3 linked regions of the Lonchura striata genome follow. The protein of the gene in region 2 interacts with the protein of the main gene of each other region in a biochemical or structural test. Links are inferred from orthologs where the notes say so. Each region holds a gene or a part of one and is shown on either strand. Other genes may lie near its edges. The genes, in order: NPPA, NPR2 and NPPC.

Region 1 (3,747 bases), on a different chromosome or scaffold from region 2:
ATGTTAAGACATTTAGGACATGGGAAATACTTTACCATTTTATTATTAATTTGAAAGTGTACTCAGAAGATTCTTTCAAGATCTATGTTCATATGAAAAGCCAACAAATTATTACTAGACTGACATTCAACTTACCCCTACATTTGTTTTTGTTTCAATTTAAAATAACAAGAAACATTAGGAAAATGAAAAAAAAAAAAAAAGCCATTGCTTCGTGATTTAGAACTCTCTTGCATTCCTGTAAAAAGATTGATTTTTAGTTATACTATATGTACAAAGACAAAAAACGGAAGAGAAATCAGAAGTATTTCTGTACTTTCATAATTTCTCATCTAGAATAGGAAGTTTCTAGCTAATTTTAAGACATTCAGCACTTAAAGAAATATTTTTAGTTTTTAATATATTTCAGATTTTATTTTAACTCCTCACAAAACACACATATATACAAATCCATCCATTCTTTCTTTGGGATAGATTCTGAATAATACCAGCTATCTATTTAAGTTCTCATTGAACAAGTTTCTTTCTTGTATGATGGTAAAATAAGATTATTGCTGAAACTGGCTGCCTGTTCTTTAAATTTTCTTTATGCAGGGTCAAGCCTTACCATCAATGCTTACAGAAATCCCATTTTCAGTCCCAGAAATTGAATTTTTATAAACACTAGTGTTTTTCAGCGGTGCCGGAGCCGGCTGTCACGGAGGCTGGAGGCTCTCCCCACAGGCACAGCACTGAGGTGCAGATCGAGGTGCTGCTCTTGTTGGTAACACACAAATACAAAATCTCAGTGGTGATATCACCTCAGTAGCAATGGGAAAAGTGGCCCAAATCTGGGATTTTCGGCACACTCTCTGGTATGCGGTAGCTGCACATATTCCATATATAGAAGGGAAGTGTGCACAATAGTTTAGGTGTCCTGAAAGATGATTTATCTTCATTCTTGACTCTTCACCAAATACTCATCTGAAAGCTCGTTGTTTCCCCTGTAAAAGGCCATTTCCTTGTGGAAATCTTCAAATTGAGCAAAGTTGAGAGCAGTTCTGGGATTGTTTCCCATCTCTGTAAATCTGACCATAGGGGTCTCTTGAAAGAGAATTGCTAAGAATTTCCAACTGGACTATGTAATCAGAGCGCCTGGTATCAAGAGGAGGGGGAGTGACATGAAATCACTGACTTGTGACATACATTCCTCAGCAACAGCAGCTGCTGCCTAATGACAGCTAATAAAGGGAATCTTCCCTTGACAGAGCTGCATGCCTCCAGTGGGACTGGAATGTGCCCAAGATAAACCCACTGATAACCTAGGAAGCAGGGATCACCCAAAGAGTATAAAAGATGAGCTTCAGAAGAGACACAACAGGACAAGGAAGAAAGAGACTTGAAGGGACATCTCAGAAGAAACAGCTTGAACTTCCCTATTCCCAACAAAGTCAGCGCCATGGACACTAAAGGCTCATTTTTCTATGGCTTCCTTTTGCTGCTGCTCATCCAGCTCCAGCCCAGCAGAGCCAACCCCATCTACAGCCTCAGCCCTGCCAAAGAACTGGCCAGCATGGAGGTGAGGAATCTCATTTTTCAAGGTTAAACTTTTGGGGTGCTTAGCAGAGTGTGAGGTGGTGCTTTGCCTTCCTTTTGCATGGTTGCATGGCAATAATGCATCAGCCATCACATGCTGGGGCACAAAGCCTCAGCTTTTCAAAGGGGTTCAGAGAAGCTCTGCAGGGCAATATCCTCCCATGCTGGGTTCACCCGAGCTCCTGGGCAGTTGTGGGAACCAAATTGTGATGTTGTAGGATGTCTGCTTTGGTGTTTTGATTCTTTTTCTTTTAAAGATAAATCTTCTTGGGAACTAAGTTCCAGGGGAGGAAAAAATCATCAGAGTAGCTCCATAGGAACAAATAGAAAACTCTGAGGTGGGGTCCTGATATATGTATACCCCTGCTCCATATGGCTCTAGCTTTGTGAATTTGAGAGATCTGGTTGTGTATGGATGAAAGATGAGGAGGTAAAGTGGAGCACCCAAAGACAAACTTTTATAAATATTACTAGAGGAATAACACAATCATTTAGTGTGGCTCATCTAGAAAAGCTTTCGGAGCTATAAAATTACCGCTAAGCATTTTAAAAAATAATAGAGAAAATCCATTGTTACAGCACAGTACAAGCTTGAGACTCTGATGGGATCTGAAACTCAAACCTTTCCTTGGGCTGGTTGGTACCAGTAACCAGCTTCTCAAAGCTGTTCTCAGGCCTAAGAACAAACTCCCTGAGCTTATAAGGACAATTGAAGCTAAAGCTGCCTCTGGGCTGTTTCCAGCAGCTAGGAAGAGTGGCTTCCAAATGCACTCACTATCAGGCAAGCCACAAGGCTCATTCCTCTATATTCATATTCTAGAGTTGGGCAATTAAATTCCTCTAATTGGATGAGGTGCCCTTGAGGAGGTTATCTGACCCCAGTTACACAAAGCTTTACAAATTACCAAGAATGGTACCCAGGAAGCAATCATACAGCAGGCATGAATTTACCATACACGTATTTTCAGTTACTTTTAGGAGTAGCAATCCTGTAATCCCAGGGGCAGAAAATACTGAAAACACCTAGAGCTTCTCCAAGTGATGTGATTGAAATAGCCAGGGGTGACAAAGCAGCAACTTCAGAGAATGTGGGAGTGGGCTATGTGGCTAGAGGTTCTCTCAGACTGTACCACCAGTGGGCTGAGTGGACCCGGTGAAACTCATATCTTGCATTTTCTTCTCTGCCAAGATGTCTTCTAAATTTACCAGTAAGATACACATGATGGCAAGAAGCTTCATTTAGTTCACAAGGTGAAGCTATGTCGTCCCATAGATGGAATTACTGTGAATAGGGATATAATGCAGAGGACAGAACTCAACGACCACCAGGAAGGCTGGGATCCAACCTGTCAGTCTCCCTAGGGTGGGCTATGGGACCATCGATGAAAACGGAACAGAATGACTGGAAGAGTTAGCAAATGACCACAAAACAAGGAATTTCATTATTTAATCCTTCTCTTATAGGCTCTGCTGGAAAGACTGGAGGATAAGTTTGCAATGATGGAAGCCCTGGAGTCCAATCCTGACCTGCAAGAACCCAAAACCCAGGAGGAGATCCCGTCGGAACTCGCCGATGACAGTGACAACCAGAAGGCTGAACCCAGGCTTGCACCCAACACCCCTCTGTCCTACAGGGACCCCTTCCTCAAGAGACTGAGGGGGCTGCAGATGCCCAGGATGATGAGAGATTCTGGCTGTTTTGGCAGGAGGATTGATCGGATCGGCTCCCTGAGTGGGATGGGCTGCAACGGTGAGTCCTGTCTAAGCCATTTCACCGCATAGCACAGACCGTGTCCGTGCCAAGGGACAGGGAAGGAGCAGCTTCTTATTTAAGTTTTTAAGAAGACACAGTTTCAGAATGGAATTAATTTGAGCCTAGTATTTAAGCTAGTATTGGTTTTTCAATTGTGACACGTACCAGAGATTTTGTGACACAAAACCAGATTTTAGTAACATTTATTTCATGTTTGGTTTGCAGGTTCCCGGAGAAATTAGGATCAACCTCCCTAGAACCTGCTCTGAAGAATGCTTTACAGTACCCCCTTCCTCCCAAGATGAAAGCCAGATGCTTTCTAAGCTCCTCAACAGAAAGTTATTACTATTTTTATTTATTTATTTATTTATTTATTTGATGTTTTTTTAAAGAACATTTCTTACGCTAGCACTGACAGA
Region 2 (3,747 bases):
CTGTTGGGGAAACACATTGGGTCTCGGGGACGTCGGGCTCCCCAGGGCATCCCAGTTCTCAGGGTCCAAATCCCCAGGTGCCTCCCTGCATCCCAAATCCCCGAGGACATCTCCAACCTCCTATCCTTCCACCACGGGAGATACCCACAGCCTAAGCACTGGTGGCCCCCACAAGGGAGGCAGACAGATCCCGGGAAACCCCTCCTCAGAGCCTGATTCCTACTTTATCCGAGAACTTAAGACCTCCCAAAAATGCCTTGTGAGGACACTCACACCCAGGATATTCCCTCCCCCTCCAGCTGGCTGTACCCTACAGCTGTGTATCCCTTCACATCCTCACAGCCCTCCCCAGGCTACCCCTTTGCCCCATCATGCACATCCCCCACACCCCACTGACTTCCCCAAACCCTAGGGACCCCCAGCAAGAGACATCCCCTCCCCAGTCCCTAGTCATTGGGGTACCTCAGAACCTGGATGCTCACTCCTTCACTGCAGCTCCGCGAACAGAGAATCTGTTCTCTGTTCTGAACCCCCCACCCGATGGGGACGCTCCAAACTCTAATGCTCCCTCCCCGATTCCCCTCACGGACCCTAGATCCCACGTACACACTCTTCAATCCCTGCCCACTGGAAGCCACAGGCTCTGGGGACCTCCCTCCCTTTATCCCCCGATGTGGCCTCCGAGCCCGGCCCCAACCCCTCCACTCAGAAGCCGGACACCCCAGTCCCCTGCCCCAAACCGATGCCCTCTTCTCCGATTCCCCTCACTGCACCTCACCAGAACCAAAGTACACGTCCCTTGGTCCTCCACCCACTGGGGACACCCCGAACGCGGATGCCCCTCCCTACCTCCCCTCCCGGACCCCCTAAAACACGGGCACCCCCTCCCTCAGTCCCTGCCTACTAGTGGCCGCCGGACCTGCGGACCGCGGTCTCTACTTCCCCGCTGGGGAACACTTCACCAGTCTGGAAGCGAGATACGCCGAACACCCCACCATCCCCCCACCACCCCAACCAGCGCCCCGCTCCCCGCTAGCCCCACCCCTAGCCCCCCCCTTCTCCGGGGACACCGCCCCCCGCCCCGTCGCGGTGCCGCCCATCCCGGTGCCCGTCCGGCCGGGCGGGGACCGGCGGCGCCGCCCCCCGGGGGAGGGCGGTCGGCGGCGGTCGGCGGGGCGGGGGCGCGGCGGGGGCGCGGCGGGGGCGCCGGAGCGGCGGGCGGCGGCCGGGGCGGAGGAGCCAGCGCGGCCCATGGCTCCGCCGCTGCCGCTGCCGCTGCTGGCGCTGCTGCTGCTGCCGGTCCCGACGGGCGCGGGGCGGCGGGCGGCGACCCCCAACGGGGCGCCCGCCAACTTGACGGTGGCGGTAGTGCTGCCGGAGCGCAACGTGAGCTACGCGTGGGCTTGGCCGCGCGTGGGTCCGGCGCTCAGCTTGGCGCTGGAGGCGCTGGAGCGGGGCGAACCGCCGCTGCTGCCGCGGCCCTTCTCGGTGCGCGTCGAGTTCATGAGCTCGGAGCTGGAGGGCGCCTGCTCCGAGTACGTGGCACCGCTCAACGCCGTGGACCTGAAGCTCTACCACGACCCCGACGTGCTGTTCGGGCCGGGCTGCGTGTACCCCGCCGCGTCGGTGGGGCGCTTCGCTTCTCACTGGCGGCTGCCCCTCATCACCGGCGGAGCGGTGGCCGCGGGTTTCAGCCGCAAACGGGAGCACTACAGCACGACGGTGCGCACCGGGCCCTCGGCACCCAAACTGGGCGCCTTCGTCTCCCACCTCCACGCGCACTTCAACTGGAGCGCCCGCGCCGTGCTCCTCTACGTGGACCGCAAGACCGACGACCGACCCTACTACTTCACCGTCGAGGGTGTCTACCAGGAGCTGCAGGATGGCAACAACCTCACTGTCACCGTCCACATCTACTCCCCCGAGGAGGGCGGCCCCGACACTGCCGTCCACTTCATCAAAGCCAACGGACGCGGTGCGTGGGGTGGCGCGGCGTGGGGTGCGGGGGGGACACCGTGACCACGGGCGGGATCGGGCTGAGCGCCCGGGGAGCAGGGGTGGCGGTGTGGGAGTGGGAAGAGGAAGGGAGAGCGGAGGGGGCTCCCCTCGGGAGATCCGCGTAGGGCTTCGAGGGGGGGAGGCAAAATCCTCCGCGGGGCACAGCGAGGGGCTGAGGGTGCGATGGGATCTGTGTGGGGGACGGTGGGGGGCATTGGACCCGTCTGAGGCACAGCAGGGGGAAGGATGGGGTGCAGCAAGGGGACTGGGATACCGTGGACGACATGTATGTAGGGTACAGGAAGGGGTTAAGGGAACAGCAGGACACATCTGGGGCACAAAGAGGGGATGGGGATACAGCGGGACCGCTGCAGGACGCAGCAAAGGATTGGGAATACGGTGGGATGCATGTGTGGCACAAAAAGGGACCAGGGTGGCAGTGGGACCTGTTTGAGGCACACCAAGGGATTGGGGACAATGGAGATCCACACAGGGCACAGCAAGTGTCAGAGAGGGCAGTGAGATACATGTAGGGTGCAGCAAGGAGATGGGAACTGAGTGTGATCATGTGGGGTGCAGCAACAATCCAAGGAGACAGTGGCACCTTTGTGGGGCACCATGACAGTCTGAGGACACAGTGGGACTTGTGAGGGGTCGAGAGCAAAATGGCGCCCTTGTGAGGCACGGCGAGGGAACAAGGATCTGGTGGGACTCATGTGGGATGCAGTAGGGAGTGAGCAGAGTGACACCTGTGGTAGGGCATTGCAAGGGGCCAGAGGAGGAGTGGGACCCCTGTGGAGCACAAGGAGGGGCTGGAGGCACAGTGGGACCCGTCTGGGGCATGAGGATGTTCTGAGGGCACAGTGGGACTTATGTGGGGCACAGGGAGAGGTGGGCAAAATGGGGTCTGTGTGGGGTGCCATGAGGATTGAGAAGATTTGTCACAGTGGGGCTAGAGGAGCAGCAGGACCTGCACAGGAGATGCGTTCACAGGGGACAAGACAGAATCTGAGCCCCTCCCCAGGCCAAAACCTGTATCAGTGGAGGGGCTAGGATGCAGCAGGAGGAGGAGGCACAGTGTCTCCCTCCCAGGCCCCCAGTCCAGTCAACCTTTGCTAACAAAAGCTGGGGCAGACCCCCAGCTTGGTGGGACACGTGCTGTGAGGGGCAGCCTCTGTATTAGCAGGATCAGCGTGACCCAGGCATGTCCTTGGAGGCTGAAGGTGATAGTGAGGATGCAGCTCTCTGGAGAACAGCGTCAGCTGTGGTTACATACCTAGAGAAGCATGATGCCAACATACCTATGTGGTTGTACTGTGCTCAGACAGACACCCCAGAGTGGCACCTGGGCGCCCCAAGGCTGTGCCTTGTCCCTGCTGCACACCCAGGATGGGGCTGTGATAGCCCCACCCTGCTGATGGAGGGATAAATCAATTTGGTGCCATGCGAGTGCCCCAGGAGAGCAGCTATATTGGGAGCGGGAGGAAATGGAGGGCTTACTGAGGCAGCTGGAGAGCAAGGGTAGCCTGATGCTCTTTCATTATTGATGAGCAGGGTGTATCAATCCTGGAGTCAGCCACTCTGCAATGCTTCTTAATGGATTCTGAGATGCTGTGTCATTAGGAAGGACATCTAGCCCAGATAAATGGAGCCAGATGGGCCAGCAGGACTTGTGTCCAAGGCTGGGCAGGACCAGGCTGCAGCAGGGAGGTGCTCTGGGGTGCTGGACTGAGTTCCCATCAGGACTGA
Region 3 (3,747 bases), on a different chromosome or scaffold from region 2:
CTCACTGTCCCCAGCACCCGCAGGGAGACCTGGCAGGGGAGGCACTGCCATGTTTTTCCCAACCCATCACTCTGGGGAAGCCACTCCTTCACGCATTGGTTGCTGCACAGTGGCTGTGAAGCACTGTGGGAGGAACTTCTCCCAGCTTCCCATAACTTTCTCAGATACAAAACTGCAGTTAGGAAAGTGCTACTCATGGCTGTCACCACACCTAGAAGACACCTGAGGAACTTATGTGTTGTTTGTCCTTAAAAGCACTGGAGCATGGCTGAGACAGGAGCCTCACTAAACTCTCCAACTGCAGGCACACAGGGGGTACCCTGCCCTCCTAACACCTATCCATAGCTCACCTAAGTGTTTCAAGCAGAGAGGGCAACTAGAAACCTGTGGCTGCACCAGAGCTCCTCCTGCATCCTCCCCGGAGCCCAGGGATCTAGCTCAAATTAGGGGGAATCCAGATTGAACTGCTGCAGAAGCAGCTGAGGTCTCTGACCCTTCTGCAGGGTAAGGCAGAGAGAGGGCCGGTGGATTCCGGACGGGAATGTAATAAGGCCAGCTTTGGGGTCCTCCTCTTTACCTGCCAGCAAAGCCAGAGGTTGCGAGGCTCAGCGGGACGAACACCTGCAGTCCCGTGCGCTGGCATCTCGCGTTCGCAGGGCAGCGCATCTTCCGCACGCCCCGCGGTACCGGAGCGCGGCCCCCGGCCCATCCCGGCCCCGGCCCGGCCCGGCCGCGCACTCACCGCCAGGGGTCCCTCAGCATCCGAGGCCGCTCATGGCGCCGATGCGATCCAGCTTGAGCCCGAAGCAGCCCTTGCCCAGGCCCTTCTTGTGGAGGCCCTTGTGGCGGCGGCCCGGCGGGTCCTGCAGCAGCCGCGCCCAGCCCGCCCGCGACCGCGCTTCGGCCCGCGCCTCCCGCGCCTCCCGCGGGCCCGAGCCGCCGCCGCCGCTCCGCTCCTTCTCCCGCTCCTTCTCCCGCTCCTTCTCCCGCTCCTTCTCCCGCTCCTTCTCCCGCTCCGCCGCCTCGGGCGGACCCGCTGCCGCCGCCGCCGCCGCCGCTGCCGCCGCTGACCCGCGGGAGGCCTGTGGGGGGGAGAGGGTCAGAGCTGCCGTCCCCAGCGATCCCCATGAGAGTTGGGGACCCCCTGTAAGGGACGCGCAGAGGGGTCGGTGTATCCCCCCTGCGATGCAAACTCGCGATTGGGTCTGTGCCCGGCAGTGCAGTCCATCACCCCGCTCTGGCTGTGGCCAGAGCATTTTCTCCCCTCCCTAAATCTGTGCTCCCTTCCCTGGGGTCAGAGCATCCCCCTGACCCACACCGTAGCGGTGTCTTCCTGTCCCGGTCATTGCATATCCACACCACCCCTCCAAAGGGCTGGTGGTGCTGCACACCTCAGCTGCGCTTCTGTCACTATCCTGTCGTCCCATTCCATCCCGTCCTCCCCCAACCCATTATCTGAAGGGACCTGAAAGCCGGCAGGTCCTTTCATTTCAGACCCCCTCGGTCATTGCATCCCTCATCAGTTTACACCAGTTTACAGACCTCTTCAGATTATGGGGAGGGGTCCTGCCCCACAGATCCTGTGCACCACTGCAGACTGTCCCCAGCAGTGGTGGGGAGATCAGGGTTCCTCCTCCCTGCTGCTCCCTCCCCTAGTTAATGCTCTCTGTGTCCTCCCAATCCTCCAATTCTAACCTACAATAAGAGGGACACACCTCCTCCACACTGCTCCCCCATCTCCCAGGCCTTCCATCTCTCTCCCTGCTCAGAGCTGCTGCCCACCAAGCCATGGAAATGTTAATCCTCATTCATTTTCCCAACATCCCCCTGTATCAACACTTTTTCTTCAGCCTGCACCCCAGTGCCTTACAGGGACACTGCCACTCCCATCCCACTGCTGCCCTGGGGCACTCGTCAGACCGTGTCTCCATCTCTGTGCCAGACCTCAGGGCAGTACCACCCAGTACAGTAGTACTGGGTGCCTCGGGCACATCCCTCGTCCTCAGCATCTCGAGAAAACCAAATCCCTGGGACACTCTCATTTGGGGCGCCCCTTCCTCATGGGACACGCGGGGAAGGGACACCCACCTCTGTGCCCCTGCCCGGCCTGTTTGGTCAGGACTGCCCGGCGGGCTCTGCTCTCGCACCCTGTCCCACCGTGCACCTGCTGCCTGCCCCGCTCCGGCTCTGCTCCCTCCCCCGTGCCCGGCACAGAGGGGTCTCCAGAGTGACTCCGGGGGCACACTGCCGCCTCCCCTGCCCCGATCCCGCGGGCTGCGGGGCACACCGCGTCCCACTCAGCCTCTGGTATGGGGCGACGTCCCCGGACGTTCGGGACAGCCTGGAGAAGCAGGGAGTCCCCCTTGCAGTCAAACAGCCCATGCGGAGAGAAGAACCCCTCTTTGCACTGACTCTGGCACCCCACAGGCACCCCACGTTTCCCCCTGTGCCGTTAGGACTCTGAGCGGGACCGGGAGAGGAGGAAGAGCCGGAGAAAGCTCCAGCCGTACCTTCTGTGGGAGCTGAGACGCCGGCTTCGCCTCCAGCCTGAGGGAGAGCAGCGCGAGTAAAAGTCCACCAGCCAGCAAGGGTGAGATCTGCATCCTGCGGGGCCGAGCGGCAGGGGGGTCGGGGGGGGCAGCGGGGAGCCGAGGGCAGCCCCGGGGAGAGGACGGGACCGACGGGAGTCAAAGTTCAGAGCGGAGCCCCGAGGTCCCTCCTGCCGCCTGCGAAGTGCCGAGCTAGTGAACTTGGGCTGCTTTCTGCTTCATTCATTTTATAACCCAACCTGCTCGGTGATGTCATCTAAATACCCAGGTCCAACCCGGTCTGCACTCCACAATAGCAGGAATTTAAAGGGGGGGGGTGGTGGTATCCCCTCTCCCCTGGCAGTAACAAATGACACAAGACAACCAGCTCCGGGAGCTGGAGACCCGAAAGGGAAAGCGGGGGGCATTTGGCTTGATGCCCCCGCCCTCCCCCAGACGCCCCCGGCCCCCCTGCAAGCTGTCTGCCCTCCCCTTGCCGGCTGCCCCACCGCCCCTCTGCTCCCCGCACTGCCCTGCTGACCTCCCGCGGCAGAACACGGGCCGGGCGGGGGGGGGTGGTCCCGGTGCGGGATTCATCCCAAAAAACAGGAATAAGCACCTTTTTTTTTTTTTTTTTTTTTTTTTTTTCTTCCCACATCCAGGATTAGATCAGACTGTGCCTCCCAGGTCTCTACTTGGCAGGAGCAGGGCCACTGCCTTCTGTGACAGGAATATGGGGGACACAAAGAGATGGAGGGTACAATGGTGCTTCTTGAGGGCACCTCAGTGGGTCTCTTGGCTCCGGGACTGACCTGCTCTCTCTGCTTCTGGGGGATCTTGATGGTGTTCCTGGCCCTGGAGATGGGGCTTTTCAAGCACCCTGGGGATGCAGGGTATAGTTAGTGTCACAGGGTCCCTTGTGGGGACAGGACCTCACTGGCTGACCCATGTCAGGGCTGTGCAGCCTGGCCTCCCTCTGACCTGCTCCCAGAGCTAGAGGTTACAGGAGAAAGGTGTGATCCTGGGATTAACCCCAGGAGTTCACAGGGCCTTTGAGGAGGCCCCTTGCTCTCAGCCTTCCCCTTTCCTGGCTGGCAGAGCAGGATTTGTGTCTCTGCTGCTGCTGGGGCTGGCACTGGGCAGCTCTGGAGCTCTGCTGGCTTTTTGCTGATGGAGCTGAGCACCATCTCCGGCCCCCTGTCCAGGGAAAATTCTCTTC

What was found.
Region 1: the proteins of NPR2 (region 2) and NPPA form a complex in vitro, tested with the Homo sapiens proteins (3 studies listed by BioGRID). The link is inferred for Lonchura striata from reciprocal best matches to the Homo sapiens genes NPR2 and NPPA.
Region 3: the proteins of NPR2 (region 2) and NPPC form a complex in vitro, tested with the Homo sapiens proteins (3 studies listed by BioGRID). The link is inferred for Lonchura striata from reciprocal best matches to the Homo sapiens genes NPR2 and NPPC.

The regions. Positions count from the first base shown.
Region 1 is NC_134626.1:5,503,413-5,507,159, forward strand, and holds NPPA (natriuretic peptides A), read left to right. Parts: upstream 1-1,438; coding exon 1,439-1,558; intron 1,559-3,039; coding exon 3,040-3,357; downstream 3,358-3,747.
Region 2 is NC_134642.1:39,675,797-39,679,543, forward strand, and holds the start of NPR2 (atrial natriuretic peptide receptor 2), read left to right. Parts: upstream 1-1,251; coding exon 1,252-1,975; intron 1,976-3,747. UniProt on the Homo sapiens protein: Receptor for the C-type natriuretic peptide NPPC/CNP hormone. Has guanylate cyclase activity upon binding of its ligand. May play a role in the regulation of skeletal growth.
Region 3 is NC_134612.1:18,242,240-18,245,986, forward strand, and holds the start of NPPC (C-type natriuretic peptide), read right to left. Parts: upstream 2,633-3,747; 5' UTR 2,604-2,632; coding exon 2,511-2,603; exon of another isoform or gene 2,412-2,510; intron 1,083-2,411; coding exon 756-1,082; 3' UTR 743-755; intron 1-742.